7 linked regions of the Oryctolagus cuniculus genome follow. The protein of the gene in region 1 interacts with the protein of each later gene in a pairwise test. Links are inferred from orthologs where the notes say so. Each region holds a gene or a part of one and is shown in the gene's direction. Other genes may lie near its edges.

Evidence for each region.
Region 2: the proteins of CCDC136 (region 1) and PDLIM5 interact in binary tests that used the Homo sapiens proteins (3 or more experiments, as listed by UniProt). The two-hybrid records come from large-scale screens. The link is inferred for Oryctolagus cuniculus from reciprocal best matches to the Homo sapiens genes CCDC136 and PDLIM5.
Region 3: the proteins of CCDC136 (region 1) and HMG20B interact in binary tests that used the Homo sapiens proteins (3 or more experiments, as listed by UniProt). The two-hybrid records come from large-scale screens. The link is inferred for Oryctolagus cuniculus from reciprocal best matches to the Homo sapiens genes CCDC136 and HMG20B.
Region 4: the proteins of CCDC136 (region 1) and ASB7 interact in binary tests that used the Homo sapiens proteins (3 or more experiments, as listed by UniProt). The two-hybrid records come from large-scale screens. The link is inferred for Oryctolagus cuniculus from reciprocal best matches to the Homo sapiens genes CCDC136 and ASB7.
Region 5: the proteins of CCDC136 (region 1) and RAB33A interact in binary tests that used the Homo sapiens proteins (3 or more experiments, as listed by UniProt). The two-hybrid records come from large-scale screens. The link is inferred for Oryctolagus cuniculus from reciprocal best matches to the Homo sapiens genes CCDC136 and RAB33A.
Region 6: the proteins of CCDC136 (region 1) and JMY interact in binary tests that used the Homo sapiens proteins (3 or more experiments, as listed by UniProt). The two-hybrid records come from large-scale screens. The link is inferred for Oryctolagus cuniculus from reciprocal best matches to the Homo sapiens genes CCDC136 and JMY.
Region 7: the proteins of CCDC136 (region 1) and HDAC4 interact in binary tests that used the Homo sapiens proteins (3 or more experiments, as listed by UniProt). The two-hybrid records come from large-scale screens. The link is inferred for Oryctolagus cuniculus from reciprocal best matches to the Homo sapiens genes CCDC136 and HDAC4.

The regions. Positions count from the first base shown.
Region 1 is NC_091434.1:164,996,392-164,999,891, forward strand, and holds part of CCDC136 (coiled-coil domain-containing protein 136), read left to right. Parts: intron 1-2,672; coding exon 2,673-2,996; intron 2,997-3,500. UniProt on the Homo sapiens protein: May play a role in acrosome formation in spermatogenesis and in fertilization.
Region 2 is NC_091439.1:71,014,178-71,018,463, reverse strand, and holds the start of PDLIM5 (PDZ and LIM domain protein 5), read left to right. Parts: upstream 1-1,486; 5' UTR 1,487-1,640; exon of another isoform or gene 1,641-1,770; intron 1,771-2,347; exon of another isoform or gene 2,348-2,629; intron 2,630-4,286. UniProt on the Homo sapiens protein: May play an important role in the heart development by scaffolding PKC to the Z-disk region. May play a role in the regulation of cardiomyocyte expansion. Isoforms lacking the LIM domains may negatively modulate the scaffolding activity of isoform 1.
Region 3 is NC_091447.1:59,467,388-59,471,320, reverse strand, and holds the start of HMG20B (SWI/SNF-related matrix-associated actin-dependent regulator of chromatin subfamily E member 1-related), read left to right. Parts: upstream 1-1,133; 5' UTR 1,134-1,166; coding exon 1,167-1,229; intron 1,230-1,454; coding exon 1,455-1,510; intron 1,511-1,840; coding exon 1,841-1,949; intron 1,950-2,259; coding exon 2,260-2,463; intron 2,464-3,001; coding exon 3,002-3,122; intron 3,123-3,211; coding exon 3,212-3,258; intron 3,259-3,648; coding exon 3,649-3,721; intron 3,722-3,933. UniProt on the Homo sapiens protein: Required for correct progression through G2 phase of the cell cycle and entry into mitosis. Required for RCOR1/CoREST mediated repression of neuronal specific gene promoters.
Region 4 is NC_091443.1:9,946,838-9,950,337, forward strand, and holds part of ASB7 (ankyrin repeat and SOCS box protein 7), read left to right. Parts: intron 1-928; 5' UTR 929-1,048; intron 1,049-3,236; 5' UTR 3,237-3,287; coding exon 3,288-3,498; intron 3,499-3,500. UniProt on the Homo sapiens protein: Probable substrate-recognition component of a SCF-like ECS (Elongin-Cullin-SOCS-box protein) E3 ubiquitin-protein ligase complex which mediates the ubiquitination and subsequent proteasomal degradation of target proteins.
Region 5 is NC_091453.1:107,859,340-107,863,251, forward strand, and holds the end of RAB33A (ras-related protein Rab-33A), read left to right. Parts: intron 1-2,822; coding exon 2,823-3,278; 3' UTR 3,279-3,412; downstream 3,413-3,912.
Region 6 is NC_091445.1:3,019,643-3,023,718, forward strand, and holds the start of JMY (junction-mediating and -regulatory protein), read left to right. Parts: upstream 1-1,276; 5' UTR 1,277-1,671; coding exon 1,672-2,511; intron 2,512-4,076. UniProt on the Homo sapiens protein: Acts both as a nuclear p53/TP53-cofactor and a cytoplasmic regulator of actin dynamics depending on conditions. In nucleus, acts as a cofactor that increases p53/TP53 response via its interaction with p300/EP300.
Region 7 is NC_091434.1:1,667,491-1,670,990, forward strand, and holds part of HDAC4 (histone deacetylase 4), read left to right. Parts: intron 1-2,074; coding exon 2,075-2,159; intron 2,160-2,878; coding exon 2,879-3,020; intron 3,021-3,156; coding exon 3,157-3,196; 3' UTR 3,197-3,500. UniProt on the Homo sapiens protein: Responsible for the deacetylation of lysine residues on the N-terminal part of the core histones (H2A, H2B, H3 and H4).

The DNA.
Region 1 (3,500 bases):
TGTTTACTGGGCCAAGCCCAGGGCCCAGAGCTGTTCCTGGTGAGCGGCGCAGCCGTGGGCCCCACCTTCCTACGGCTTGCAGTGCTGCCGGAGGTAGACCAGCTGCACACGCGGGCGCGAGGAGAGTATTTCTTGCAGGACTTGGCTGTTGAGGAGCTGTGGGGAGAGCCTAGGAAAAGTGGAGTAGATGAGCAGAGACTGGGGACAGGAGATGAGGAGAATGTGCCCGTGGGAAGGTCCTGAGCCGCCCAATCAGTCCTGAATTCCCCCATCCTGGCCCCCAAATCCTGAGTTCCTATTAATAGCTATGCCTTTAAAAAAAAAAAAGATTTATATATTTGAAAGAGTTACAGAGAGGTAGAGAGAGAGAGAGAGGTCTTCCATCTGCTGGTTCACTCCCCAGATGGCTGCAATGGCCGGAGCTGAGCTGATCCAAAGCTTCGTCTGGGTCTCCCATATGGGTGCAGGGGTCCAAGCACTTGGGCCATCTTCTACTGCTTTCCCAGGTCATATCAGAGAGCTGGATCAGAAGTGGAGCAGCCGGGACTTGAACCAATGCCCATATGGGATGCTGGCGCTGCAGGCCAGGGCTTTAACCCAGTACGCCACAGTGCTGGCCCCACTGCCTATGCCTTTTACTACCTTTCCTCTTTTAGGTTCTGTCAATCCCAGATGGGTTCCTGTGTCCAGAAGCCCTGAGATGCTGCACAGATGCCGAGAGCGCTGACACATTTTTCTCTCGTGAGCCTCTGTGTATTATAAAACACAGGCCTTGTGAAAATTCACACAGCGCAGAAACATAGGAGGTGGAAAGTCCACATCCCCGTCATGTGCGGCACCGCTCAGGAGCAAGGCTCTGGCTGGTCTGGGACGTAGATCTTCCCAGGCCTGTTTCTGTCTTTGTACATTTGTGGGTTATATATGTCTCGTAAAGGTAACTTTTGCAAGAATTAGATAATACCATGCATTTTGTAGCTTGTTGTTCTTCTAGTTAATATATTGTGGAAACCTCAGATCTTCAGTGTAGAGCTGCCACTTTTTTTTTTTTTTTTTTTTTTTTTTGGCAGGCAGAGTAGACAATGAGAGAGAGAAAGAGAGAAAGGTCTTCCTTTGCCATTGGTTCACCCTCCAATGGCCACCGCGGCCGGCGCACTGTGGCCGGCACACTGCGCTGATCTGATGGCAGGAGCCAGGTATTTATCCTGGTCTCCCATGGGGTGCAGGGCCCAAGCACTTGGGCCATCCTCCACTGCACTCCCTGGCCACAGCAGAGAGCTGGCCTGGAAGAGGGGCAACCGGGACAGAATCCGGCGCCCCAACCGGGACTAGAACCCAGTGTGCCAGCGCCGCTAGGCGGAGGATTAGCCTAGTGAGCTGCGGCGCCGGCCTGCCACTTTCTTTCAAATGGCAACATGATATTCCCTTCGTCCTCTGTCAATTTAAAAAGCACGTATCAAGTGCCATTTAGGTTTTCACTCTATGCTTAGTTATATGGTGAACTAACATGTGGATTTCTTTTTTTTTTTTTTAACATTTATTTATTTTTATTTGAAAGTCAGAGTTACACAGAGAGAGGAGAGGTAGAGAGAGAGAGAGAGAGAGAGAGAGGTCTTCCATCTGCTGGTTCACTCCCCAGATGAACACAACGGCCAGAGCTGCACCCATCCGAAGCCAGGAGCCTCTTCCAGGTCTCCCACGTGGGTGCAGGGGCCCAAGGACTTGGGCCATCTTCTACTGCTTTCCCAGGCCATAGCAGAGGGCTGGATTGGAAGTGGAGCAGCCAGGTCTCGAACCAGTGCCCATATGGGATGCCGGCACTTCAGGCCAGGGCATTAACCCGCTGTGCCACAGCGCTGGCCCCTAACATGTGGCTTTCAGCTGTGGACTCTAAATACGCAGTTGTTTTGGATCTCGTACTTACCACAGGCAGTTCGTGGGACCTCTGAGGCTCTATAATTTCCAAGCTCTCAGCTTGAGTGGGTGAAAATAATTTTTGTAAATTTTTTTTAACTAGGAGAATTTTTAGAAGTCAGGCCAGCAATAAAGCACTATCAAGTAGGGATAGGCATTTGGTACAGTGGTTAACTTGTCACTTGGGATGCCTGGCCTGCACTGGGGAGTGCCTGGTTCAAGTCCAGCCTCTGCTTCTGACCCAGCTTGCAGCTAACGCACACCTGGCAGGGAGCAGATGGTGGCTCAAGTGCCTGGGTCCCTGCCACTCACATTGGAGACCTGGATGGGGTTCTGGGTTCCTTGCTTTGACTTTACTCAAGTCTGGCTGTTATGGGCATTTGGGGAGTGAACCAGCAGATGGAAGATCTGGCTGTCTCTCTGCCTCCATCTCTCTCTGCGTTTCCAAGAACAATGAAAATAAATTTTTTAAATCTTAAAAAAAATAGCGTAAATTAAATTTGGTCTTTAACTGTCAGGTGTCTCCCAGGAAGTACTTAATACTCTTTGTTTACAGCAGCCCAAGTTGTTGCATTTGGTAGCAGGCCTCAAAATCTGCTTTTCTACTCAGCCTACCACACAGAGTCGCTCTGTTCCTTTTATTCCTGGACACTGGGGTGTCAGGAGTTTGCGGACAAGCCGTAAGTCCACCTTGAACTTTGTGCCGCCGGCACGCGGTAGACGAGCCGTCCCCCTGACCCTCTGCACCCTTGGGCTTGCAGGTGAGCTTCGCCATCTGCGGGAGGAGATCTCCCTGCTAGAGCGGGAGAAGGAGAGCGAGCTGAAGGAGATCGAGCGGGAGCTGCACTTGGCCCAGACTGAGATCCAGAGCCTGCGGCAGGCGGCGGCCGACTCGGCGAGTGAACATGAGAGCGACATGGCGTCGCTGCAGGAGGACCTCTGCCGCATGCAGACCGAGCTGGACGACATGGAGCGCATCCGGGGAGACTACGAGCTGGAGATCGCCACCCTGCGCGCCGAGATGGAGATGAAGAGCTCCGAGCCCTCCAACAGTTTAAGTCTCTCGGACTTTTCTGGGTTGCAAGGTAGGAGAGAGCGAGTTCTCCCGGCCAGAGGAGGGTGGGTAATGCAGAGGAAGGCGGTGGAAAAGTGTGCCGCTGGATGAGGAATTAGGAACCGCTAGGAAAAAGCCCTCCAGGTTAAACTTGAGACTGTGGGGCCGGTGCCGTGGCTCACTTGGCTAATCCTCCACCTGCGGTGCCGGCATCCCATATGGGTGCCGGGTTCTATTCCTGGTTGCTCCTCTTCCAGACCAGCTCTCTGCTGTGGCCCGGGAAGGCAGTAGAGGATGGCCCAGGTGCTTGGGCCCTGCACCCGCATGGGAGACCGGGAGGAAGCACCTGGCTTGAGACTGTAAGGGAGAACATGTACTCAGATGTTACAGTCATTCCATGGCGCTGTGAGAGGCGTGCATTGGGAATTCTACCCCAGAGAGCCTTTAGGGCTTTGTTGACCTGACTGTGGGGAAGCCCTCCTGCTGGGCTGTCCAGTTCTGGGAGGAGGGGAGAGAGCCGGGTCACCTTGGGAAG
Region 2 (4,286 bases), on another chromosome or scaffold:
TCTCTCACCCTCTCTTTCTCTTTCTCTCTATAACTCTGCCTTTCAAATAAATAAATAAAAATTTTTTTGACAGAGTTTGATAGTGAGAGAGAGAGAGAGAGAGAGAGAAAGGTCTTCCTTCCGCTGGTTCACTCCCCAAATGGCCGCCACAGCCAGCGCTGTGCAGATCCGAAGCCAGGAGCCAGGTGCTTCTTCCTGGTCTCCCATGCGAGTTCAGGGGCCCAAGCACTTGAGCCATCCTCCACTGGCACTGAATTTTCAACAGTAGAGTGAAATATAGTCCTCCCCAAAGAAAGTTGTGTTTAATGGAGATAATTCTGCTTCAATTTGGAAATTCCAATTAGTTAAAATGTCCAATTAATTAAACTGATATAAAGCAAGAAAACCCTTTCCGTTTTCCAGTTGCAGTAACCATGTTTCAACTGTCCAACAGCCACTGAACGTGTGGCTACTGATTTGGACATAGCAGCTTTGAACCTTTTGTTGTCACTTCTAGAGGGTTCAAAGACCTCACCAAGTTCAGCCTTGCTTCCATGTCGCTTGGTTAAGAGCTGTTCCTATAAGGGAAGTTTAATTGGCCCAGTCCTTAAGAGGCCACTTGGGACTGCAGCAATCTGAGCGCCTGGATTCTGGTCCTGGCTCTGCTTCTGATCCAGTTTCCTTTCTCCCGTTCCCTTATCCTGGAAAATGCTGTGCGATGGCTCAGGTCGGAGTTCTGGGCCCAGCCCTGGCTATTGTGGGCATCTGGGAAGTGAACCAGTGGATGGGAGATCTCTCTGTTAGGAAAAAGAAGGAGGGGGGGAGGAAGGGAAGGTGGGAGGGAGGGAGAGGACGGAGGGAAGGAGGGGAAAGGAAGAAAGAAAGAATTGTTCTTTTCACATTTACAAGGCAATTCGCAGTGCAAAAGAATCTACAAGTTACTTTCCGGGTATTCCAAGTTCATTATCCGCATTTGCCTAGGAATAAATTCCTCGTCAAAATCGAGGAAACTTTCAGAAGGAGGAAAGCAGGTTATGGATCTGGATATAGAAAAACAAGTTCAAGATGAAGTGGTTGCAGCATTGTCGCGCGATGTTAGATTTCAGTGCTGCAGATTAGGGCTACCGATTTTCACCTTCCCGACAAGCAGCTTTCAGGGTCTGCTCTTCTCGGAGCCTACAACTTCTCTCAGAAGAATCCAGGCGGTAGCTGCTGAACTTGCATAGATAGGGATGTAGCCAAAGTCCTCTTCTATTTTTAGCCAGAGCAACTGTTGGCCAATACAACTTTCTGGGCAGAGAAGTGCACCCTCCTGCAAAACGGACACGCAGAAGGTTAGCCCTTTGCCAGGTCCCCTTTGAAATCCCCTCACACTACTCCCACCGAAACTCGATAGCGCAATTGTTTTCCGCAGCGGCTGCAGCCAGCCCCATCACGCGCGCGCCCCGGGCACCCCCTTCGCCTTCTGGGTCAGGGCTCGGAGCCCCACCGCGCTGCCCGGCTGGGGGCGTGGCCTGGCGCGAAGGGGCGTGCCCAGGGCCGGGGGCGGGGCTGCCGCGCCGGGAGGCGGAAGTTCTCGCGGGCCGCGGGGACGGCGCACGCACCGCCAGTCACTTGTCAGCGCTCGTCTGAGGCGGAGGCAGCGCCGCGCCGGACCCGAGGTGAGTGTCCGGCGGCTGCAGATGCGCGTCTCGGCTCTGTGGCAGAGAGGAGGGGAGAAGCTGGTCTCCTCGTGGGCCGGCTCGCTGAGGAGGAGGAAGGGGCGCACCTCGGGCCGGGGCGGCTCCTCAGGTGCTTTCTGGGCGCGGAGCGGCGGAGGTGGGAGAGCGGCCAGGGCGAGAGGAGCTCCCGGGAAGAGGCAGTGCGGGGGTGGGCGTGAGGCTGTAGGGCTAGCCCTGGCAGTTCGGGTCGGCCGGGAGGAGCGCCCTGGAGGCTGGGGGGTGGTGCGGGCGGGCTCCGGGGGGCTCCTGAGCCCCGCCGCGCCGACCTTCCCCTGCCGGCTGCCGGCGTGGCTGGGCGGCCCGCCTCGGGTCTCCCCACGACCTGCGCCAACCCCTTGGGGGAAGACGTGAGTTATTTTTGTGTGTGTGTGCGCTCAGGGTCCTGAGGATCCTTCATCCCCACCCCCCACCCCCAGTATTTACAGTTGTGTAACCTGTTCAGGGAAAACTTGTGCGCCCAGACATAAAGCTCGTTAAAAAAAAAAAAAAAAACAACTTGCCTAATTGTTGGGGCTTTTGCAAGGCGGTGCGTTTGACAATAAGTGGAAAAAGGAAGGGCGTATGGACTGGGCAGAACTTGGAAAGAAAATCCGTAGCCTGCGCTGGGCAGGGCAGGTCTAGGGTGTGATCGCCGGCTCCTATCCCAGGTCCGCCTCCCTGACCGCGAGGACGTCTGAACCCGCCTGCCACGGAAGCAGCGCGCCCGGGAGCCTTATTTGGCCAACAGGGCGAGGCGCGAACCTCGGCTGGAAACTGTCTCGTCGGCTACTTTTCGTCCTACGCCTGTGGCTTCTGTAGCTCTGCTCCATTATCCCTCTATTGGAGGGCAGGGGCCGGGGGAGGGAACCTCAAGATATTTCTTCCTAATTTCAGGCTCTACTTGTCACTTGGTGCAGATCATCGCAAGTTCTCCACCCTAAGAAGCTCGGGTACAAATGTGGCAATACCAAGTTTCCTAGTCCTAAAGTGAAGTTAGTGTGTAGACTTCACCCGAAAGGAATCCCCACGTTTTCTGTGTTTCAAAGCAGGTTGCTGTTTCCTGCTGACTCACTTATTTAGGAAGGATTTGGTCACTAATAGCTAGAGGGAGGAGACCCGGAAAAGACCACTACAACTATTGCCATGGCTTAGGGATCAGAAGGTCTTGAAGGCAAATGAATTGCAGGTGACGCTAGCAGGAGAGTCCAGCTTGGAGATGTCGCTGGCTACAAGTGCAAAGACTCTGGCCTCGTCCTGTGACTGTGACCTTGCAGGTCCTATAAATTCTGACAACAAGTGGGAGAGGTCAGGAAGGGAGTCCCCAAGTTAAGAGAAGTTGCATGTCGATGGCTTGATATATAAATTAAATAGATTTTCTTGTAGGGAAGAATGGGCTAGAGGAAGTTGAGCCTAAAGTTCACATACTTCCCCTGCTAGAAGTTAAAGATTAAAAAAAGGAGGGCAGGCAGCCTGCGAAAGTCAGTTGGCTTTACATGATTCTGATTTGTCACGTGTGCCAATAGCAAGATTTTCTCGACTACGCTACTAGTTTTAATGAAGATCGTCTTTTGTATTGCAGGAAAACACCACCTCCCCGCTATTAATTTTTCACCTACATGCAACAGTTTAACTTCTGGCGTGGCTTTGGGTCTTTTTAGTGCCTGTGTCTGCTACTTCAGTACTGAAGTAATGTGTTATTGCCTGCTAGTTTAATGTACTTCCACGCCATGGAAAAGCTCATTTAGTGCCTAAGTAGATACAGTGCAGATTTTTCCCTGATTTAATTTTTCTTTAAGATCCAGGCTTATTTGAAAGTTGGGTCTAATTTTCCCTTTCTGAGAAGAAGGAATCTGTTTGCTTTAAGTTTGAATAGCTGCATCTGTCACTCTGAATCTGGTGTGAAGGGATAGTAATTTTCAGTGTGTTAAAAAGTGGAAAAATATGTCAAGACAGGTAATATAAAGTGAATTTGGTTGAACAGCTCAGATTTTCCAAGGAAGTGTGTCTTAAATGGCTGCTTCCTAAAGTGTCTTTTAATAATTTTAAAATTATACACCTGTTAATATTTTTAATACTTTTAAAAGGAGAGACCTGTTATGTTTCTTAGTATTACATTAAAAAAAAAAAAAACTCCATTCCTCCCAATTTCTCCCATCCCTATAAAAACCAAAACACCCAATCAGACTTCGTTTTTTTTTTTTTAAAGTACAACCTTGAGAGTCATTAGGAGCACAAGCAAAAAAAAAAAAAAAAAGGAAAAAAAGAAAGCACTGAGGTGCTGATTCTTTTTTAAATCTCAGTTCAGTTTCATGTGTAAATGTTAACCCTGTGGTCCTATGGCATTCAGTCATAGTTGTATTCAGTGAGTGCTCACCCCTCCCTGTGAGAAATGTGTATGAAACGAAAAGCCGCTTCTGCCTAAATGTCACCATACTCAAGCATTTGTCATTGCCTATTTGAGGGAGAAGTGAATATTACTTTAAGTATAGAAGATACCATGTCCCTGGAAGTGGAAATACGAGTTGTAGTTCATGATTGGAGAAAAGAGTTTTGTGCACAGGAAAGCATCTTCTGTTTTAAACGATTTAGTGTTTGGAAAGCATGAAT
Region 3 (3,933 bases), on another chromosome or scaffold:
CGCAGGGCAGTTCCTACGGCAACGCCAGCCTTGTCCATCACGGACGGAGGCGGGGCCCGCAGGGCAGTTCCTACGGCAACGCCAGCCTGTCCATCACGGACAGAGGCGGGGCCCGCAGGGCAGTTCCTACGGCAACGCCAGCCTGTCCATCACGGCTCGGAGGCGGGGCCCGCAGGGCAGTTCCTACGGCAACAGCAGCCTTGTCAATCACAGCAAGGAGGCGGGGCCCCGCAGCAGAGCCTCAGGGCGTCCGTGGATTCCAGTCTGCGCCGTCTAAATTTAGAACATTCTCGTCACCCCCGAAGGCAGTGCCCAGCCCCTCCCTCAGGCCGCGGCGACCACGCCCCCTTCCTGTCCCCGCGGAGTCCCCTGCCCGGCCGTGGGGCCCCACGCGCGTTCGTGCTCCCCGGCGTGACGTCTGCGGGGCCCGCAAGTACTCGGCCCCGCACTCCGGGCCGCAGACGTCTGTCCCGTTTTGCGGGGAGCCTCGCGCAGGTTCTCCCGCAGCCGCACCCCGGGACTGCCGGGCTGACCGTCCGTGAGCGCCAGCCGCTCCCAAACCCACGCACCCGCCCCGTGGACACCGGACTCGCCCCTTGGTTTGTGCGAGGACCTGTGCGTGAGCAGGCAGATGGGGCGGGGGGCGGCCAAGGTGCCCAGGGTGCCCGAGGACTGACGGCCGTGCAGATGGGGCTGACTCCGGCCCGGGTCTCCTGCCCAGCCCCCGCCTGACCCCGGCCCAGGTCGCCTGTCCAGCCCCCGCCTGACCCAGGCCCGGTCTCGGCCACGCAGCGCTCCAGCCTCTCGGCCACGGCGGGTTTGGCCCCCTCCCCAGCTCTGCGGGTGCTAAGAACCAGAGCCCCCTCGCCCTAGCGACCCCCTGCGTCCCCACGGCAACCGGGGCGGGGCCGAACCCGGATCCGCGCGCGCCTGCTGGCCCTTTAAGAGGCTCCGCCCCGCGCGGCCTCGGACGCCAGGGATTGGCCCCGAGCGCGGCCTCGCGCAGCCGAACTTGACGCGCCGCCCGCCGCCTCCCCGGCCCGCCTCCCCGGCGACTCGGCAGCCGCTGCGGCCAATCGCCGAGCGGCGCGCCGACCCTCATCTACATGATCACGCCCCCGGGGCGGGCCCCGGCCAATCGGGCCGCTCGCCGGGGCCTCATTAGCATGCCGGGGGCGGTTGGTTGGCGCGTCGCGGCGGCCGCCAGGGCCGGGAAAGTTTCTGTGGAGGTGAAAGCCGCGCGGAAGTCGGGGTCCCGCGCAGGGCGGGGGCGCGGGGGGCGCGGGGCGCGGCCGGGGCCGCCTCGGGCCGGGGGCGGGGCCGGGCGGGCCCCCGGGGGCGGCGATCGCCCAACAAAGGAGCCCCCGGCGCCCGCCCTCGAGCGCGTCCCCGCCCCCAGCGCACCCCCCGGGGTCCCGGGCGCCCCTCGCCGACGCCGCGCGTCTGCGTTGCAGGTCCGGCCCGGAGCCGCCATGTCCCACGGCCCCAAGCAGCCCGGCGCGGCCGCCGCGTGAGTGCGCCGCCCCCGCCCCAGCGCCCTGCCCCCTTGGAGGGTTTCTCCCGGGTCGCCACCTCCCCAGCCCGGCCTGCGCCCTGCCCCGGCCCCCTCCCCAGCCCCTCCTGCCCCCGCCCCGCCTCCACCCCTTCCCCAGCCCCGCTCCTTCCTAGGCCCCCTCGGGCTCCCGTCCTGACCCGGCCCGCGCCCCCCGGCTGGGCTCCGTCCTCCCAAGGCCGCCTCTGCGTCCCCTCCCCGATCTGCCCATGTCCCGACCCCGGCGGGCGGCGGTCTGGGCTCCAGGGGCCGGCGTGACCCTGGTGACCCCGTGCCCCGTGGCTGCAGGCCGGCGGGCGGCAGGGCTCCGGGCCCACACGGGGGCTTCGTGGTCGCGGTCAAGCAGGAGCGCGCCGAGGGCCCGCGGGCCGGCGAGAAGGGGTCCCAGGAGGAGGAGGTGAGCACAGGGCCCGCCCGCCCCGTGTGCAAGTCTTGTGGCTCCGCCCACTGCCCGGTATCCGGGGAACACTGTCCCACTATCCCCCCTCGCCCCGCCCACATCCCGGTGACCCCGCCCTTTGGGCGGAGCTTTCCTTTGGGCCGCCTATAAGCGCTTCTTTCTGTCAGAGGCCACGCCCACAATCAGAAGCCACACCCCCAGGGGACCCGCGGTCCGCCTGCCCAGGTCCAGGCCCCCTTGGACCTGGTCCTCCTCCAGCCTGGCCCTCTCGGGGCCCCGGCCCCTGCCCACGCGCCCCGTTCCGCAGCCGGTCAGGAAGCGCGGCTGGCCCAAGGGCAAGAAGCGGAAGAAGGTCCTGCCGAACGGGCCCAAGGCGCCGGTCACCGGCTACGTGCGCTTCCTGAACGAGCGGCGGGAGCAGATCCGCACGCGCCACCCAGACCTGCCGTTCCCCGAGATCACGAAGATGCTGGGCGCCGAGTGGAGCAAGCTGCAGCCGGCGGAGAAGCAGGTGCGGCGGCCGAGGGGCCCCGGCGCGCCCTGGCTGGCCTCGCTCGGTCGGTGCCCGCCGGGGTCGGACAGGGCCGAAGGGGGCACCGGCCTCGGTCAGCGCCCACCGGGGTCGGACAGGGCCGAAGGGGGCACCGGCCTCGGTCGGCGCCCACCGGGGTCGGACAGGGCCGAAGGGGGCACCGGCCTCGGTCAGCGCCCGGCCGGGTCGGACAGGGCCGAAGGGGGCACCGGCCTCGGTCAGCGCCCGCCCGGTCGGACAGGGCCGAAGGGGGCACCGGTCTCGGTCAGCGCCCGCCCGGGTTGGACAGGGCCGAAGGGGGCACCGGCCTCGGTCAGCGCCCGCCCGGTCGGACAGGGCCGGGTCTCTGCTGAACCCAGATTTGCGCGTTAGTTTAAATGTGGAAAACCCAGGCGGGTCCGACGGAGGCCAGCGCTGGTCTGCGCCTGTTGCGAGTGGGGTGCGGGCCGGGGCCACCGAGGGTGCAGCGGGGGCGGGGCGGGGCGGGGCTCGGGCCCACCTGCCCGCCCACCCGCAGCGGTACCTGGACGAGGCGGAGCGCGAGAAGCAGCAGTACATGCGGGAGCTGCGGGCCTACCAGCAGTCCGAGGCCTACCAGATGTGCGCCGAGAAAATCCAGGAGAAGAAAGCCAAGAGAGGTGGGCGGGGCGTGGGGGCGGAGCCACAGCCCGGCCATGGCCAAGGCCACTGCGTGATGGGCGCTGACCCTGCCCCTCCCTCCCGCCAGAGGACTCGGGCTCCGGGCTGCTGAACACCGTGTTGAACGGGTACAAGGTGAGCGCGGCCCTGTGCCCGCCCGGGCAGCAGGCAGGGAGGGTGCGGGGTGCCGCGGGGAGCCGGCCGGGAGGGGTGCGGGGAGCCACGGGGAGCAGGCAGGGAGGGGGCGGGGAGCCACGGGGAGCCATGGGGGGCAGGCCGGGAGGGCGCGGGGAGCCACGGGGACCCGGCCGGGAGGGCCCGGGGAGCTGGCCGGGAGGGGGCGGGGAGCCACGGGGAGCCATGGGGAGCCGGCCGGGAGGGCGTGGGGAGCAGGCCAGGTGGGTGTGGGGAGCCACGGGAAGGGGGCAGGGAGCCGGCCGGGTGGGTGTGGGGAGCCGCGGGCGGGCGCAGGCCTAGGTGCCCCGGGAGCTCCCCCCAGCATAGCCACCTCGCCCCCCGACCCAGGCCGGGGACTGCGACGGCCTGGCCGCCTTCGACGTCCCTATCTTCACTGAGGAGTTTCTGGACCAAAACAAAGGTTGGCGCCCGGTGGTCCCGGCGCGGGGGGGGCGCGGGGAGGGGGCGCGGGGCTCTCCGGGGGGTGGGGAGAGGGTGTGGGGACCCGGCTGGCGGGGTGGGAGGGGCGGGGCCCCGAGGGCCGGGCTGGCGGGGGTCGGGGAGGGGCGGGGCCCCGAGGGCCCGCGGTGCGGGTCGGGGCGCGGGACCCCAGCCCTGACCCGGCCCCCCACG
Region 4 (3,500 bases), on another chromosome or scaffold:
CATGTAGTTAGAAATACTAGAGTTTTAAATCCCATTCTGTTTCCAAGTACAAGTTGGTAAGCTCTCTGCCTTCCCTGAAGAAGTGTGACAAGGGAGAGTCAGGTGAGAAGAGAGGACGAGGCAGACGGGGCTGTGCCTGTGCCGGGATGGAGACCTGCAGCCGGCGGGAGGCCTGGCCCTGCCTCTCCTGAAGGTGCAGGTGACAGAGGGCTTGGCACACCACACACCACGCAGCGGTGCGGCGGGGCTCCCATACGTAATTCCTGCTGTGTGGAAGTCACTGTGCATGTGGCCCTAACCCTAGTGGAGCGCAGAGCTAGGATTTCGTCGGCAGGGAGGAAGCGCGCCATACACATGAGTGTTCTCAGAATCCCGGGGAAGCTGGCAAGACTGTTAAGGTTTTTCTGAGTCTGCCGTCTTTCTTCATAGAGGAGTCCGTTTCAGCATGAGGGGCTTGGTGTCTTCGGAGAACACGAAGAGTGGCTTTTAAAGGTAGAATCACCGCAGATTGCTTTTTCGTGCCGGCCACCTTCTGTATCGAATGCACAAGCTTTCTCGTTTTAGTCCTCTTTAGAGAGAATAGGTGATCATGGTGTCAGAAACAAGTGGAGCCAGTCTGGGAATATATTCTCAACAGAGGAAGAAGAATTCGTGCATACCTACAAGTCCTGAATGTGTGATTTATTCTTTTCTTCACTTAATCTTTTTTGTAAAGCTGCCATCCGGTGGGAGGGAGGGATCCTGAAAATAAATCACGTTTGATTTCATCTTGGAGATTAATACGTAAGTGACGAAAGCATTTTGTCAAAGAACTGATCTGCGTCCGCAGCCCTCTGGATTTGCCGTCAAGTGCCGAGACCCCGCGGGCAGCTCTGGTTCTGGATTCGCTCAAGGAGTTTCCCACGGTTCTTACTCTGTTTGCTTGCAGGTTGAGAAGGCTCTGGGGCTCTGCCGGAGGACGCACACTGAGCCCATCCCCACCATGCTGTATGTGCACAATGGTTACTAGGCAATCCACATACCAGGAGAGGGGACATTCTTCCGTCAGGTGAGGTGACGCGGGGGCTGTGTTGGGAGACCACCTGTTCAGCTTTCTGTTTCTTCCTTTAAGCCAGCCAGTGTGTGCTGGAAGAAAATTCAGGATTGCATCGCCGCATTCACCCTCTGCCACGGTAGACCGGTCTGCCACCACAGCAGAATCTGAAAGATGATGGTCTGAGCGTGCGACCGTAGATCCCATTAACTCCCTCTGATGGCCTTTAACACGCGGACTACGATAAGAATCAGGAAAGACCTATTCCGACAAGATTCCTTATTTTCTTTCAAAATTTCTGAGACGAGACTTTAGTTTTGTCATTAAGTGAAGGAGTGAGGGAAATCTTACCGAGGAAACAAGTTGTTAAGTCTCTCATCTCCTGGTTTTCTCGGAGAAAATGGCGCTCGATAGCAGTCATGTGACAAAATTCCACCACTTGGTAGTGACGCTTCGGGCTGAGTGAAGACCCCGACTCTGTTGAGAGCACCATCAGGTGCCTGTACACGCCATCTGTAATGATTCGACCCGAGCTGGGCTTCCGTTTACCCGTGTGCAGTCCGTAACGAGAGGTTTTGCAAGATACATTACTGTTAGTAGCAAGACTATCCTGAGATCCTGAATCCACGTTGGAGAGCACAGTGTCTTTAAAGAGCTTTATCACATAATTGTTTTTTTCTATTTTTAGAAATGGAAGGTACTTGTTAAGAGATGAGTCTAGTCTTCTACAAATTAGCCCAGTTTGGAATGACTTCCTGGAAGCTAGTTAGTTTAGATTTCTGTATGTACTTAACTTAAAATCCCACTGGGCCGGCGCCGCCGGCTCACTAGGCTAATCCTCCACCTTGCGGTGCCGGCACACCGGGTTCTAGTCCCGGTCGGGGCGCTGGATTCTGTCCCGGTTGCCCCTCTTCCAGGCCAGCTCTCTGCTGTGGCCAGGGAGTGCAGTGGAGGATGGCCCAAGTCCTTGGGCCCTGCACCCCATGGGAGACCAGGATAAGTACCTGGCTCCTGCCATTGGATCAGCACGGTGTGCTGGCTGCAGCAGCCATTGGAGGGTGAACCAACGGCAAAGGAAGACCTTTCTCTCTGTCTGTCTCTCTCACTATCCACTCTGCCTGTCAAAAAAAAAAAGAAAAAAAAAATCCCACTGAACTGAATTTGTAACGCACAGACATACACACACACACACACACACGTGCAGCGTCTCACCGTTTCATTCTGAACTTGGTATGAAGGCGATGTCATTTTCTGACACTTCTTGTGACCTAGTGAGTGAAGGGATTCAGTGTGCTACTCTTTCCTTTCAGATAATTTTATCGTAGGGCTAATTGACAGATTATTTAGATTCTCAGAGTTTTAAAATGTATGTTATTTGTTGCTACTTTGATTATTTATGGAGTGGAAAATAGAATTTAGAAACATGTACCAGAGGCTGTGTAGACAGTAACAGGAAGCGGGAAGCGCTGATAGAAAGACAAACAAACCAATAAAAGGAAAATAAATCCCATCCCAACATTTTATTCTGATTTCTTAATCTGCTACTTCTCTACCCAGCCTTCCTCGCTTTGTGCTAAAGATAAAATGTTGTTGAAATACTTGAGAGAAATAGTCAAAAGGTTTTTGTTTGGGGCTTTTTTTTTTTTTTTTTTTTAACCCACTGCCTTCATTGTCTTTGGTGTTCCCAGTAAATGGGTTGTCCATTTATTGCTCCATGTTGACTATCTCCAATCAGTGACAGCACCCTTGAACGGCTTGTAGCTCCACCTCCTCCCGGCTTGTAGCTCCACCTCCTCCGGGCTTGTAGCTCCACCTCCTCCGGGCTTGTAGCTCCACCTCCTCCGGGCTTGTAGCTCCACCTCCTCTGTGGTGCGTCCAGTGAGTGAGAGCTCCTGAGATGGGCACTCACCTGATTTGCTACCTGGCATCTCCTCCCTCTTAGCTAAACCCGCATGCCGTGCTCGTGGGCTGTTTGCTGTGAGTGATTTTTTTGTTGAATAAGAGTGCTGTTTCTTTTGAAATAGTTTGTAATCTTAGGGAAATAATCGAAAGTTTTGGTCTCAACAGCCGCATGTTCACTAGTAGTAGGAAGGGTCATTACCAAGGATTTCTGATTGAGGCCTTGAACAGTGCTGAGATATCTAGTGGACAACTCCCAGGCGCCAAGTACGCTCAATTTCATCTCTTCTACCTGCCCTTCAAGGCTGATCCCTGTGACCTAATGACTCCTTTGTAACAAGCGGACTCAGCTAGGATGTTACACCACCACTGTCGAAGGAACCCTGAGCTGCAGGAAGAATTGCAGATCCAGGCCGCGGTGGCCGCTGGGGATGTCCACACCGTGCGGAAGATGCTCGAGCAAGGCTACTCTCCGAACGGCCGCGATGCCAACGGCTGGACGCTGCTCCATTTCTCCGCAGCAAGAGGAAAGGAAAGATGTGTTCGAGTATTTCTGGAACACGGAGGT
Region 5 (3,912 bases), on another chromosome or scaffold:
TTCGGATTGGCGCAGCTCTGGCCGTTTCGGCCATCTAGAAAGTAAACCAGCAGGTGGAAGACCTCTCTCTCTCTGCCTCTGCCTCTCTGTAACTCTGCCTTTCAAATTAATTAATTAATTAAAAATATATAGAGAGAGAGTTAAAATGTGAGTTTTAAAAAAATTTATTTGAAAGGCAGAATTAGAGAGAGGAGGATATGTGTGTGTGTGTGTGTGTGTGTATGGGGAGAGAGAGAGAGAGAGAGAGAGAGAGAGAGAGAGAGAGAGAGAGAAAGGGCTTCCATCCACTGGTTCACTCCCCAAATGGCCACAACGGCTGGGAGTTGGGCCAGGCCAAAGCCAGGAGCCAGGAGCCAGGAGCCTCTTCTGGGTCTCCTGCATGGATGGCAGGGGCCCAAGCACTTGGGCCATCTTCCACTGCTTTCCTCAGGCCATTAACAGAGAGCTGTACCAGAAGTGGAGCAGCTGAGTCTCAAACCAGCGTCCATATGGGATGCTGGTGCCACAGGCAGAGGCTTAACCTGCTATGCCACAACACCGGCCCCTAAAATGTGAGATTTTTAACACTAGCTTCCTTTAAAAACTAATGAAAAACAAAGCAATGCATGCTTACAGTAGAAAGCTTGGAAAATACATAAAAGAGTATAAAAATCACCCACAGTCCCACTGTCCATAAATAACCTTTTATGGGAGGCAGGAGTTGGGCCCTTGGATTACATGCAGCATCTCGATACCCAGCTGCAACTCCTGACTCCAGCTTCCTGCTAATGCAGACCCTGGGAGGCTGCAGGTTATGGCTCAGGTAGTTAGGTTCCTGCCACCCCTGTGGGAGACCTGGATTGAGTTCCTGACTCCCAGCTTCATTCTTGGCTCAGCCCTGGCTGTTGCTGGCATTTGGGGAGTGAACCAGTGGACAGGAGTTCTTTCTATAAATATTTGTCTCTGTCTCTCTCTGCCTTTCAAATTAATAAATAAAAATGTTTTTAAAAATTAAGGAATAGAATTAGCATTGTGCTGTAGCAGGTTAAGCCACAGCCTACAGCGCTGGCATCCCATATGGGTGCCAGTTCAATTCCTGGGTGCTTCACTTCCAATCCAGCTCCCTGCTAATGCACCTGGGAAAGCAGTGGAAGATGGTCCCTGCACCCACGTGGGAGACCTGGAAGAAGCTTCTGGCTCCTTGCTTCAGATCGGCCCAGCTCCAGCTGTTGCGGCCATTTGGGGACTGAACCAGCTGATGGAAGACCTCCCTCTCTCTCCCCCTCTGTCTGTCTGTAACTCTGCTTCTCAAATAAATAAATAAATATTTTTAAAAATTAAAGAATAAAAAATATTAATGTTTTGATTTACTATGCATATGTCTAAGTTTAATAGTTTAAAAAATTGTAACCATAGCATACAAAGATTTTTGTATATGTTTTTAAAGATTTATTTGAAAGGCAGAGTGACAGAAAGAAAGGGAGAGGCAGAGAGATAAAGAGGCCTTTCATCTGCTGGTTCACTCTCCAAATGGCCAGAAAAAGCCAGCTTGGCCAGGCCATAGCCAGGAGCCAAGAACTCCATCCGGGTCTCCCACGTGGGTGGGAGGGGCCCAGGCACTTGGGCCATTTTCTGCTGCTTTCCCAGGTCATTAGCAGCGAGCTGGATGGGAAGTGAATCTGCCGGGACCTGAAGCAGCACCCATATGGGATACTGGTCTTGCAGGCAGCAGTTTAACCCACAGCGCTATAATGCTGACCTCCATCCTTCTTACTTCTTAAAGATTTATTTATTTATTTAAAAGTCAGAGTTACACAGAGAGGGAGAGCAGAGCGAGATCTTCAATATGCTGCTTCGCTCCCCAGATGGCCACAATGACCAGGGCTGAGCCAGGAGCTTCTTCCAGGTCTCCCACGTGGGTGCAGGAGCCAAAGCACTTGGGCCATTCTCTGCTGCTTTCGCAGGTGCATTAACAGGGGGCTGGATCGGACGTCTGCTGTGAACTCAGGTCACCTGTTGAAGAGCTGAAGGCTGGAGGCTGCTCGTCTCCTAAGGCTGCATTGGATTCTATTAAAATATTGTCAATGGTCATCATTATTGTATGTGTGGTTTTCAATTGGCAATATTCTTTTAATGAGAGAGGGAGAAGGAGAGAAAGAGAGAGCGAGAAGGGCCGGCGCCGTGGCGCACTAGGCTAATCCTCCGCCTTGTGGCGCTGGCACACCGGGTTCTAGTCCCAGGTGGGGCGCCGGATTCTGTCCCGGTTGCCCCTCTTCCAGGCCAGCTCTCTGCTGTGGCCAGGGAGTGCAGTCGAGGATGGCCCAAGTGCTTGGGCCCTGCACCCCATGGGAGACCAGGAGAAGTACCTGGCTCCTGCCATCGGATCAGCACAGTGCGGCGGCTGCAGCACGCCGGCCACGGCGGCCATTGGAGGGTGAACCAATGGCAAAGGAAGACCTTTCTCTCTGTCTCTCTCTCTCACTGTCCACTCTGCCTGTCAAAAATAAGTAAGAAGAGAGAGAGAAACTCCCCCATCCCCTGGTTCACTTTCTAAATGCCTGTAATGGCCAGAGCTGGAATCAGGAGCAGAGCTGGGACTTGAACCCAGGCATTCGGAAACATGATGCAGGCCAGACTGGGCAGAACGCCCGCCCTTCAACTAACCACCTGGAGAAAAGCTTGCCAAACCCAGAAACTTCGCTTCATCCTTTGATAAATCCATGCTGCTAATCTGTGAAAGAAGCACTTCCTTTGTCAGGACTTGTAACCTCGTGTTTTATACTGCTGCGGAACCACGTCTCTCCTGTTTCCTGACTCTGCGTGTTGGCTTTTGTATCTTCCAGGTTCAGGTGTGGGACACAGCGGGTCAGGAACGCTTCCGTAAAAGCATGGTTGAGCATTACTACCGCAATGTGCATGCAGTGGTCTTTGTCTATGACGTCACCAAGATGACATCTTTCACCAACCTGAAAATGTGGATCCAAGAGTGCAATGGGCATGCAGTGCCCCCACTCGTCCCGAAAGTGCTTGTGGGCAACAAGTGTGACTTGCGGGAACAGATCCAGGTGCCCTCCAATTTAGCCCTGAAATTTGCCGATGCCCACAACATGCTCTTGTTTGAGACATCAGCCAAGGACCCCAAAGAGAGTCAGAACGTGGAGTCGATTTTCATGTGCCTGGCTTGCCGGTTGAAGGCCCAGAAATCGCTGCTGTATCGTGATGCTGACAGGCAGCAGGGGAAGGTGCAGAAACTGGAGTTCCCACGGGAAGCTAACAGTAAGACTTCCTGTCCTTGTTGAAACCCAATGGTGTACATACAAGATCAATTATCACTGGAGTTTTTTCTTTCCCTTTTTTCCGTGCCTGCATCATGCTGACACCTGCTTGTTTCCATACAAATTGATATCAAAATAAAATTTGTATAGATTATCAACTGGCTTTATGTCTTGCTTTCCTCTGAGAAGATATTTCCAATTGTGATGAGTGGCAGAGCCAGACTGCTTTTTGGCTCGCGTGACATACACACGCCACACCGGCTGTCTGGGCTACCTAAACTGTTCCTCATTTGAGTCACTTCCTCACGACTGATCCACTCTGTCGCTTGGCATCATCAGTGGGCAGAAACTCTCGGTGAGAATGGGACAAAGGCGCAATTTGTTTTTCTAGAGAGCCAGTGCAGGTGGCAGGGTAGAGAAGCTGAGAAAGGAGCCTGTTTCCTAGGCTCCCTCCATGTGTGTCTGGGATGCCCAGATAGGCTACCCTCTCCCTATTTCTCACAGTTAAAACATAGGAAGTGCCTGTTCCTTAAGGGGCCCAGTTGCTTCCAGGGTGGTTAGACCCTGCTTCCCATTTTTCACCAAACAGTCTCAGCCACCAAAACATGCCTCCCACCCCCCACCCACCTTTCTTGGATGCAGCAGGGCTCAAGCTAAG
Region 6 (4,076 bases), on another chromosome or scaffold:
ATCCCACATGGAGACCTCCATCCCACACGGGAGACCTCCACCCCACACGGAGACCTCCATCCCACACGGGAGACCTCCACCCACACGGGAGTCCTCCATCCCACACGGGAGACCTCCACCCACACAGAGTCTTCCATCCCACACGGGAGACCCCCACGCCACACGGGAGTCCTCCATCCCACACGGGAGACCTCCACCCCACACGGAGACCTCCATCCCACACGGGAGTCCTCCATCCCACACGGGAGTCCTCCATCCCACACGGGAGACCTCCACCCACACGGGAGACCTCCCTCCCACACGGGAGACCTCCCTCCCACACGGGAGCGTCTGGCCCCGCTTCCTCCTAGTGAACACCATGGGAGCTGCATCGATGGCTCAAGGACTGGTGTCCCCGCCACCGCTTGGAGACCCGGATAGGGTTCCCAGGCCGGTTGCTGCTTGCATCTGAGAAGTGACCGGCTGGCCAAGAGATTCTGTCTGTCCCTGCCTGTCTCTCTCCGCCTTTGAAACGCATCTCTAAAAAGTAAAGAACCATTTGTCTTAAACGTCCAGGATGCCAGAACAACTCGGACCTGCGCGCCGCTGGCCCTGGGAGGCTACTGCAGTCGGTCTGGCACCAAGACGGAAACGTGGACGAAGCCCAAAAGGGACAGTTTCCAGGGTCCTGACGGAGCACTGGCACCGGGACCTAGGCCCGCGTCCGCGCTGCCGGGAATGGAAGCGGGGTGCAGGCCGGCGCCCGCTGACCTCCCAGGGGGCGCGCAGCAGCGCTACCCGGGCCACAGAGGCCTCAAGGGGAACGCAAACAGCGCGCCAGGGAGGCGAACCTGCGGCTCACTGCGCCTCGTGCTGGATCCACTGGCCGGCTCGGACCCCTTCGAGACTCGGGGCCGCGGAGCCCGGCACACGGCCCTCTCGGGTCTCAGCGGCCTCCCTCCGGGCGAGCGCAGACAGGCCGACAGCCGAGGGTCCCAGAGTTCGAAACGCCTCTGGTCCTCCGTCTTTGCGCCCCTTTCCCCGCGGGGCGCAGACTCCCCGTGTGTGCGCAGGGCGCACCTGCCGCTCCCCGCGGGCTCCAGGGCCGGGGGGCGGGGCTGCGCGCGGACCGCGAGAGCCGGGAGCGCCGCCGCGCGCCGGCAGGGGCGGAGCCGGAGGCGGGGCCTCCGCGCGCGGGCGGGGCCGGAGGCGGGGCGGGGGCGGGGCCGGGCGGCGGGTGCGCGCGCCGCCGCCGCCGCGTCACCAGCGTGCGGCACGTGCCCGTGTTTACGTCCCTCGTGGAGCCGCCGACGTCAGCAGCCGAATGGCAACACTGTGGCGATGCTGAGGCGCCGAGTTTAGCAGACGCGGCGTTCTGTCCGGCGGGTTCCGGGAGGTCGGCGGGCGCAGGGGCGGCGGCGGCGGCGGCCAGGCCGGCCGGGCCAGCGCGGACACACGCACGGCGCCGGCCCGGGCCCGGGCCCCGGCTCCTCAGCCCCCGGACGCGGTCCGGCGGCCTCGCGCGGGAGGCGGCCGCGGGCCGAGCCCGAGACCCGGCCGCGCGGGACCATGTGAACCGCCTGCTCCGGGACGCGCATTGTCTGCCCCGGAGCCGCGCCACAAAGGAGCCGGGCCGGACGCTAAGATGGCTGCGGGGTCCCGGCGGGCGTGAGCGGGCGCGGCGCCGGAGCCATGTCGTTCGCGCTCGAGGAGACGCTCGAGTCGGACTGGGTCGCCGTGCGGCCTCACGTGTTCGACGGGCGCGAGAAGCACAAGTTCGTCTTCATCGTGGCCTGGAACGAGGTGGAGGGCAAGTTCGCCATCACCTGCCACAACCGCACGGCGCAGCGGCAGAGGAGCGGCTCCCGGGAGCAGGCCGCCGCGCGGGCCGGCGGGGCCGAGGCCGACGGGGCCCGCGGCCAGGGCGGCGCGGCGGCCAGGGCCCGGCCCGCGGCGCCCGCCGCCGCCGCCGCCGCGGCGCCGCTCCGCAGCCCCGGGCCCCGGCGCGGCGCGGCCTGTCCGGAGGCCGGCCCTCGCGGGGCCCCGGCGTCCACGGTGCGCGTGGTGGGCGCCTCCGGGGCGGCCTCGGAGGAGATCGAGGTGCTGGAGCTGGTGCGTGACGACGAGGCGGACGCGGCGCCGCCGCCCGCCGCCGAGCCGGAGCCCGCGGCCGAGGAGTGCAGCTGGGCCGGGCTCTTCTCCTTCCAGGACCTGCGCGCCGTGCACCAGCAGCTGTGCTCGGTGAACTCGCAGCTGGAGCCGTGCCTGCCGGTGTTCCCCGAGGAGCCGTCGGGCATGTGGACCGTGCTGTTCGGGGGCGCGCCCGAGATGACCGAGCAGGAGGTGGACGCGCTGTGCTACCAGCTGCAGGTGTACCTGGGCCACGGGCTGGACACCTGCGGCTGGAAGATCCTCTCGCAGGTGCTGTTCACGGAGAGCGACGACCCCGAGGAGTACTACGAGAGCCTGAGCGAGCTGCGGCAGAAGGGCTACGAGGAGGTGCTGCAGCGGGCGCGGAAGCGCATCCAGGAGGTGGGCGCCGCGCGGGTCAGGGCGCCGGGGCCCGCTGCCTCCCGTCCCCCCTTCGCCGTCTTGAATTGGGTCTCTGACGGGCTCTTGGGAAGCGTGTGGGTTCCCTCCCCGGGTCCGCTCGCGGCCTGGTGGGGCGCGGAGGGAGCCTCCGAGAACGGGGGTGCCGCCGCCGTGCGCCCGGGGCGCCCCGAGCCGACTTGGAGGTCGCTTTTCTGCGCGTGAGCCGCTGACAGCCGGGTGCCCCCAGCCCTCGGCGGCGGCGCGGGTTTGGCCCGCACCGAGGGTCGTGGGGCAGGGGGCGTCAGTGCGGGCGCAGCGGGAGGCAGGTACGCGGGGCAGGTGAGGCCAGGCCTCCGTAGCTTCAGGTGCACGGGAGAGCCTGTGGCCTGTGCACGATGGACCCGGGTGCGTGTAAGGCTTGTTTGGGGCTCGCGGGGGGCCGGGGCGCCGAGCGCCCGGCTCTCCTGTAGTACCGGGCGGTGTTCTCTAGATGGGCCCGGGTGCGTGTAAGGCTTGGGGCTCGCGGGGGGCCAGGGCGCCGAGCCCCCGGCTCTCCTGTAGTACCGGGCGGTGTTCTCAAGATGGGCCCGGGTGCGTGTAAGGCTTGGTTGGGGCTCGCGGGGGGCCGGGGCGCCGAGCCCCCGGCTCTCCTGTAGTACCGGGCGGTGTTCTCCTCTAGATGGGCCCGGGTGCGTGTAAGGCTTGGTTGGGGCTCGCGGGGGGCCGGGGCGCCGAGCCCCCGGCTCTCCTGTAGTACCGGGCGGTGTTCTCCTCTAGATGGGCCCGGGTGCGTGTAAGGCTTGTTTGGGGCTCGCGGGGGGCCGGGGCGCCGAGCCCCCGGCTCTCCTGTAGTACCGGGCGGTGTTCTCCTCTAGATGGGCCCGGGTGCGTGTAAGGCTTGGTTGGGGCTCGCGGGGGGCCGGGGCGCCGAGCCCCCGGCTCTCCTGTAGTACCGGGCGGTGTTCTCCTCTAGATGGGCCCGGGTGCGTGTAAGGCTTGGTTGGGGCTCGCGGGGGGCCGGGGCGCCGAGCCCCCGGCTCCCCTGTAGTACCGGGCGGTGTTCTGCGCTAGACTGCAGTAAATGTCCCCTCACACCGCGGTACGCTTATCGCTTTCCGAATCCGGATTTTCGCTCCTTCCCACGGGTTTGCTTTGTGCTAAATGTGACTGCAATTCGCTGTTTCTCTTCTGGGCTCTGTCTGCCCTAGCATCTTTTTGGAAGGAAGTGTCAGGAGGATTTGCTGTAGCGTTCTGTGCGGTTTCCTGGCGGCAGCAGTAAGGTCAGGGCTGCTTTTTTACTCGACTTAGAGAGATACATAGTAGACTCTAAATCCCTGGCTGAGTAGGCCTGTCTCATCTAGCTTTAATGATACACTGAAAGGGGGCTGTGGTTTTTAAATTCAGGCAGGTCGAAAGTGAGCTTCTGGAAACTGTAGTTTTCTAAGACTTGTTAGAGTGACTGTAGATTTTTAAGTAGTGTGTTTTCCTAGTTAAGATTCTATTGGCTGTAAAATTTTCAACAGAAAAAAAATTAACTTTTTAAGGCCATTGGGAAACAATTAAAA
Region 7 (3,500 bases), about 160 Mb from region 1:
CCCCCGTGGAGGCAGATTTACCCCCGTCTGCCTGCGTGCATCTCGTCGTGGCAGAGGGGCCCTGCCCGCGTGCACGTGGTGCTTGCCTTGCACCCCGTGTGCCACGTCTTCCAGCACTGCGACCCAGGGGTCTTGTCCTTGACCATCAGCCCCTTCGGGCCGCAGACGCTGCTTCTGCAAAGGGCATGAGGCTGGCTGTGACTCGCTCCCTGCAAGCCACACGTCCCTAGTTCCACTTGACCATTACTCAGCCCATTTCCTTTGTGGTCATTTATTTGAAAATCAGAGTTACAGAGAGAAAATGAGATGTCCCATTCTCTGGTTGATTCCCCAGATGGCCACGGCAGTCAGGACTGGGCCTGGCTGAAGCCAGGAGCTTCCTCTAGGTCTCCCACGTGGGTGCCGGGGCCCAAGCACTTGGGGCATCCTCCGCTGCTTTCCCAGGCCATCAGCAGGGAGCTGGATCGGAAGTGGAGTGGCCGGGACTCGAGTTGGCACCCTTATGGGATGCTGGTGTTGCGGGCGGCAGCTCCACCTGCTGTGCCACAGCGCTGGCCCCTGTTTATTTTTTTGAAATGCAGAAAGAGAGAGACTGTGAGAGATCAGTCTTCCATCTGATGGATCACTCCCCAGGTGGCCACAGTGGCCAGGACTGGTTCAGGCCTAAGCCGGTGCCCAGATTCCATCCAGCGCATTGCATGTGGTGCAGGGGCCCAAGGACTTGTGCCATTTCCTCGGCTTGCCAGGCGCGGGAGCTGGGAGCTGGGACTGGAGGCCGAGCAGCCAGGATGCTGGTTGCAATGCCAGCTCCAGACAGCGCAGACGCTTCTCTGGCTGCACCGACAGCACCAGGCCACGCTTCCTGCGGCATGCCCGCGTGCCTATCGGCTCCCTCGGCCCCTGAGGTTGTCCGCCTGGTGTCGCCATCCTGCCTAGGCATGGATTTCCCTTCCTGTTCTGCCTGCCGGGTCTTGCCCCTCTCCCAGGCTGCAGGCCCCAGGGCCGGAGCCCCGTGTCTGGCTGCCCCTCGTCCCTTCTCCCTGTTCCCTGAGGACCTGCGGGCAGCCGCACAGACCCCCACAGCCCACCCTCTGGGCTTGCTCTGGGCCACTGCCTCGGGTGCCCCTCCACACGGTGTTCTCCTGTCTGGTCTCATCGCGTGCCCAGCTTTCTGCTGCCACGCTTGGATTGCTAATTCATTCTCTCTCTCCCTCTCTCCCTCTCCCCCTCTCCCCCTCTCCCCCTCCCCTTCCCCCTCCCCCAAGTCTTCCAGGTCAGGTACCGCACTCTCTGGCTTTTCCTCACACATGAGTGTTTTCCTGTGTGTTTGAAGTGCAGTAAGCGTGTTTTAAGTTGTAACTGACGGTTTCAGTGACTGCAGTCTTGGGGGGTCTAAACCAGCTCGTTTAACTTTTGATCTCTGGGAGGTTTTAAGGTGTACGGAGCCCTCGCGCCAGTGCCCTCCTGGGCGGCTTCCTCTGTGCTGGCCTCCTCCTTGAGCCCCAGTCACCGTGCACAGCTCAGAGACCAGCTCCAAGCCGAGCCACACCAGGGACGGGGCAGGGGCAGGGGTGGTGTACAAGTGATCAGGATTCTCCGTGGAGGAGTCTTACCTCCCCGGTTGGCCCCTGGGTCATTCACAGGTGTCCCTGTGGACTCGCCTCTGCCTGTCATTCTGTGCCAACAGGGGATGGGCCCAGGAGGGCAGGTGGGGGGATGGCCACCAGCGGCCTGCAGGAGATGCGGGAGCAGAGCGGGTGGAGAGGAACACGATGCTCCTAAAGCACACTAACCGCTTCCCCTGGCGTGGCCCGGGGGCGGAGAGCAGGCAGCAGCTCGCGCCCGGGCCCTGTCCTCCCTCCACCTGCCGGCAGGAGCGCCGGGAGCCCGCGGCCAAGGCCGGGAGGAAGTGAGCTAATAGATTCCCGCGGCCACGTGAGCCTTTCTGAGTGTCCTCTTCCCTGCGGGCAGACGCACTCCACGAACGGCCCGGCAGCGGGCAGGGGCAGGGTTGGCCCCGTGCTGCGACAGCCACGTTGGCTGGGTAGCCACTGTGTGTCCCTCTCTCTTCCAGCTCGACCCTCTGCCCGAGCAGGTGGTCCAGCAGAGACCCAACGCGAACGCCGTCCGCTCCATGGAGAAGGTCATGGACATCCACAGTGAGTGGTCGGGCCCAGCCGCTGTCAGCTGGCCTTTGCTGAGCGGGTAGAAGCAGCCACAGCCTCCCGTGACGACACATTACCCCACTGCACAGGCCAGAGAGCGGGGGCCCCAGCAGCGCCGGGCAGCCCAGGGCTGGGGGCCCGAGTGGGGGGCTGCAGGGCAACCTCCTACCACTGCCCTGTGAGCACAGGCCCTGGGGGACCCCTGCCGGCTCGCCTGTCTCACACGTGTCCGCGCCGCAGATCCCTGTTTATCTCTGGGTCTCGGAGACCCGAGTGGGCAAGGCCCTCCGAGAGGTGGGTAAAGCCAGACATCGGCTCCCGGTGTGCCTGTGCGGGGGCTGGGTTCCTGGCCTAGAGCCGCTTCCAGCCCCGGGCACACCCCCAGCGTCTGTCAGTCCCAAGGCAGGGGCCCCACGGGAGCCCCCACCCCCAGTCCCACGAGGTCCCAGACATCGGCTCCCGGGTTCCTGGCCCAGAGCCGCTCCCAGCCCCGGGCACACCCCCAGGTCTGTCAGTCACTGCACTTGCGGGGACCTGTAGGTGCGGAGGGAGCGCCAGGTGATCCCAGGCAGGCTCGATGCCCCTGGCTACCCGGAAATGTTGCCCAGACGAGTGGGCTGGCCTGCCGCTTCAGAGAGGTGCTTTTGACTCGCGAGACCCCGGGCCCTGCGACAGCTCCTGCCTGGTCCTGAGTGCGCCTTCCCCGCCCGCAGGCAAGTACTGGCGCTGCCTGCAGCGCCTGTCCTCCACGGCCGGGCACTCCCTGATGGAGGCGCAGAAGTGCGAGAACGAGGAGGCGGAGACGGTCACGGCCATGGCCTCGCTGTCCGTGGGCGTGAAGCCGGCCGAGAAGAGGTGAGCTCGCGGGCCCTGGCAGAGCCTGGGAGAGGTTCCGCCCTGAGCAGGGGGCCGGGGCGGGGCCGGGGCGGGGCCGGGCCGGGCCCTGCGGTGACGGCCCTGTGGTTCTCTCCCCTCTGCCCCCTCCACGCAGACCCGAGGAGGAGCCCATGGAGGAGGAGCCGCCCCTGTAGCGCTCTGGAAGGCGCTGTTCCCTTGTTTGTTTGTCTCTGTCTTGAAGCTCAGCCAAGAAACTTTCCCGCTCACCCGCGTCTGCCGCGGTGCCCCCTCGAGTGCTGGGGCGCAGGCGCGTGGCCGCAGCGGGAGCCCTTCTGCCGCCCACACGCGGGCCTGGCAGCGTCCCGCGGAGCACGGGACAGACACGGCAGCGAGCAGACACACGGACACGCGGAGGCCAGGCACACCGCCGGCTCCCAGGAGGGAAGCCGCCAGAGGCCTGCGGCGACTCGTGGCAGGGTTGCCGGATTCAGTCGATGC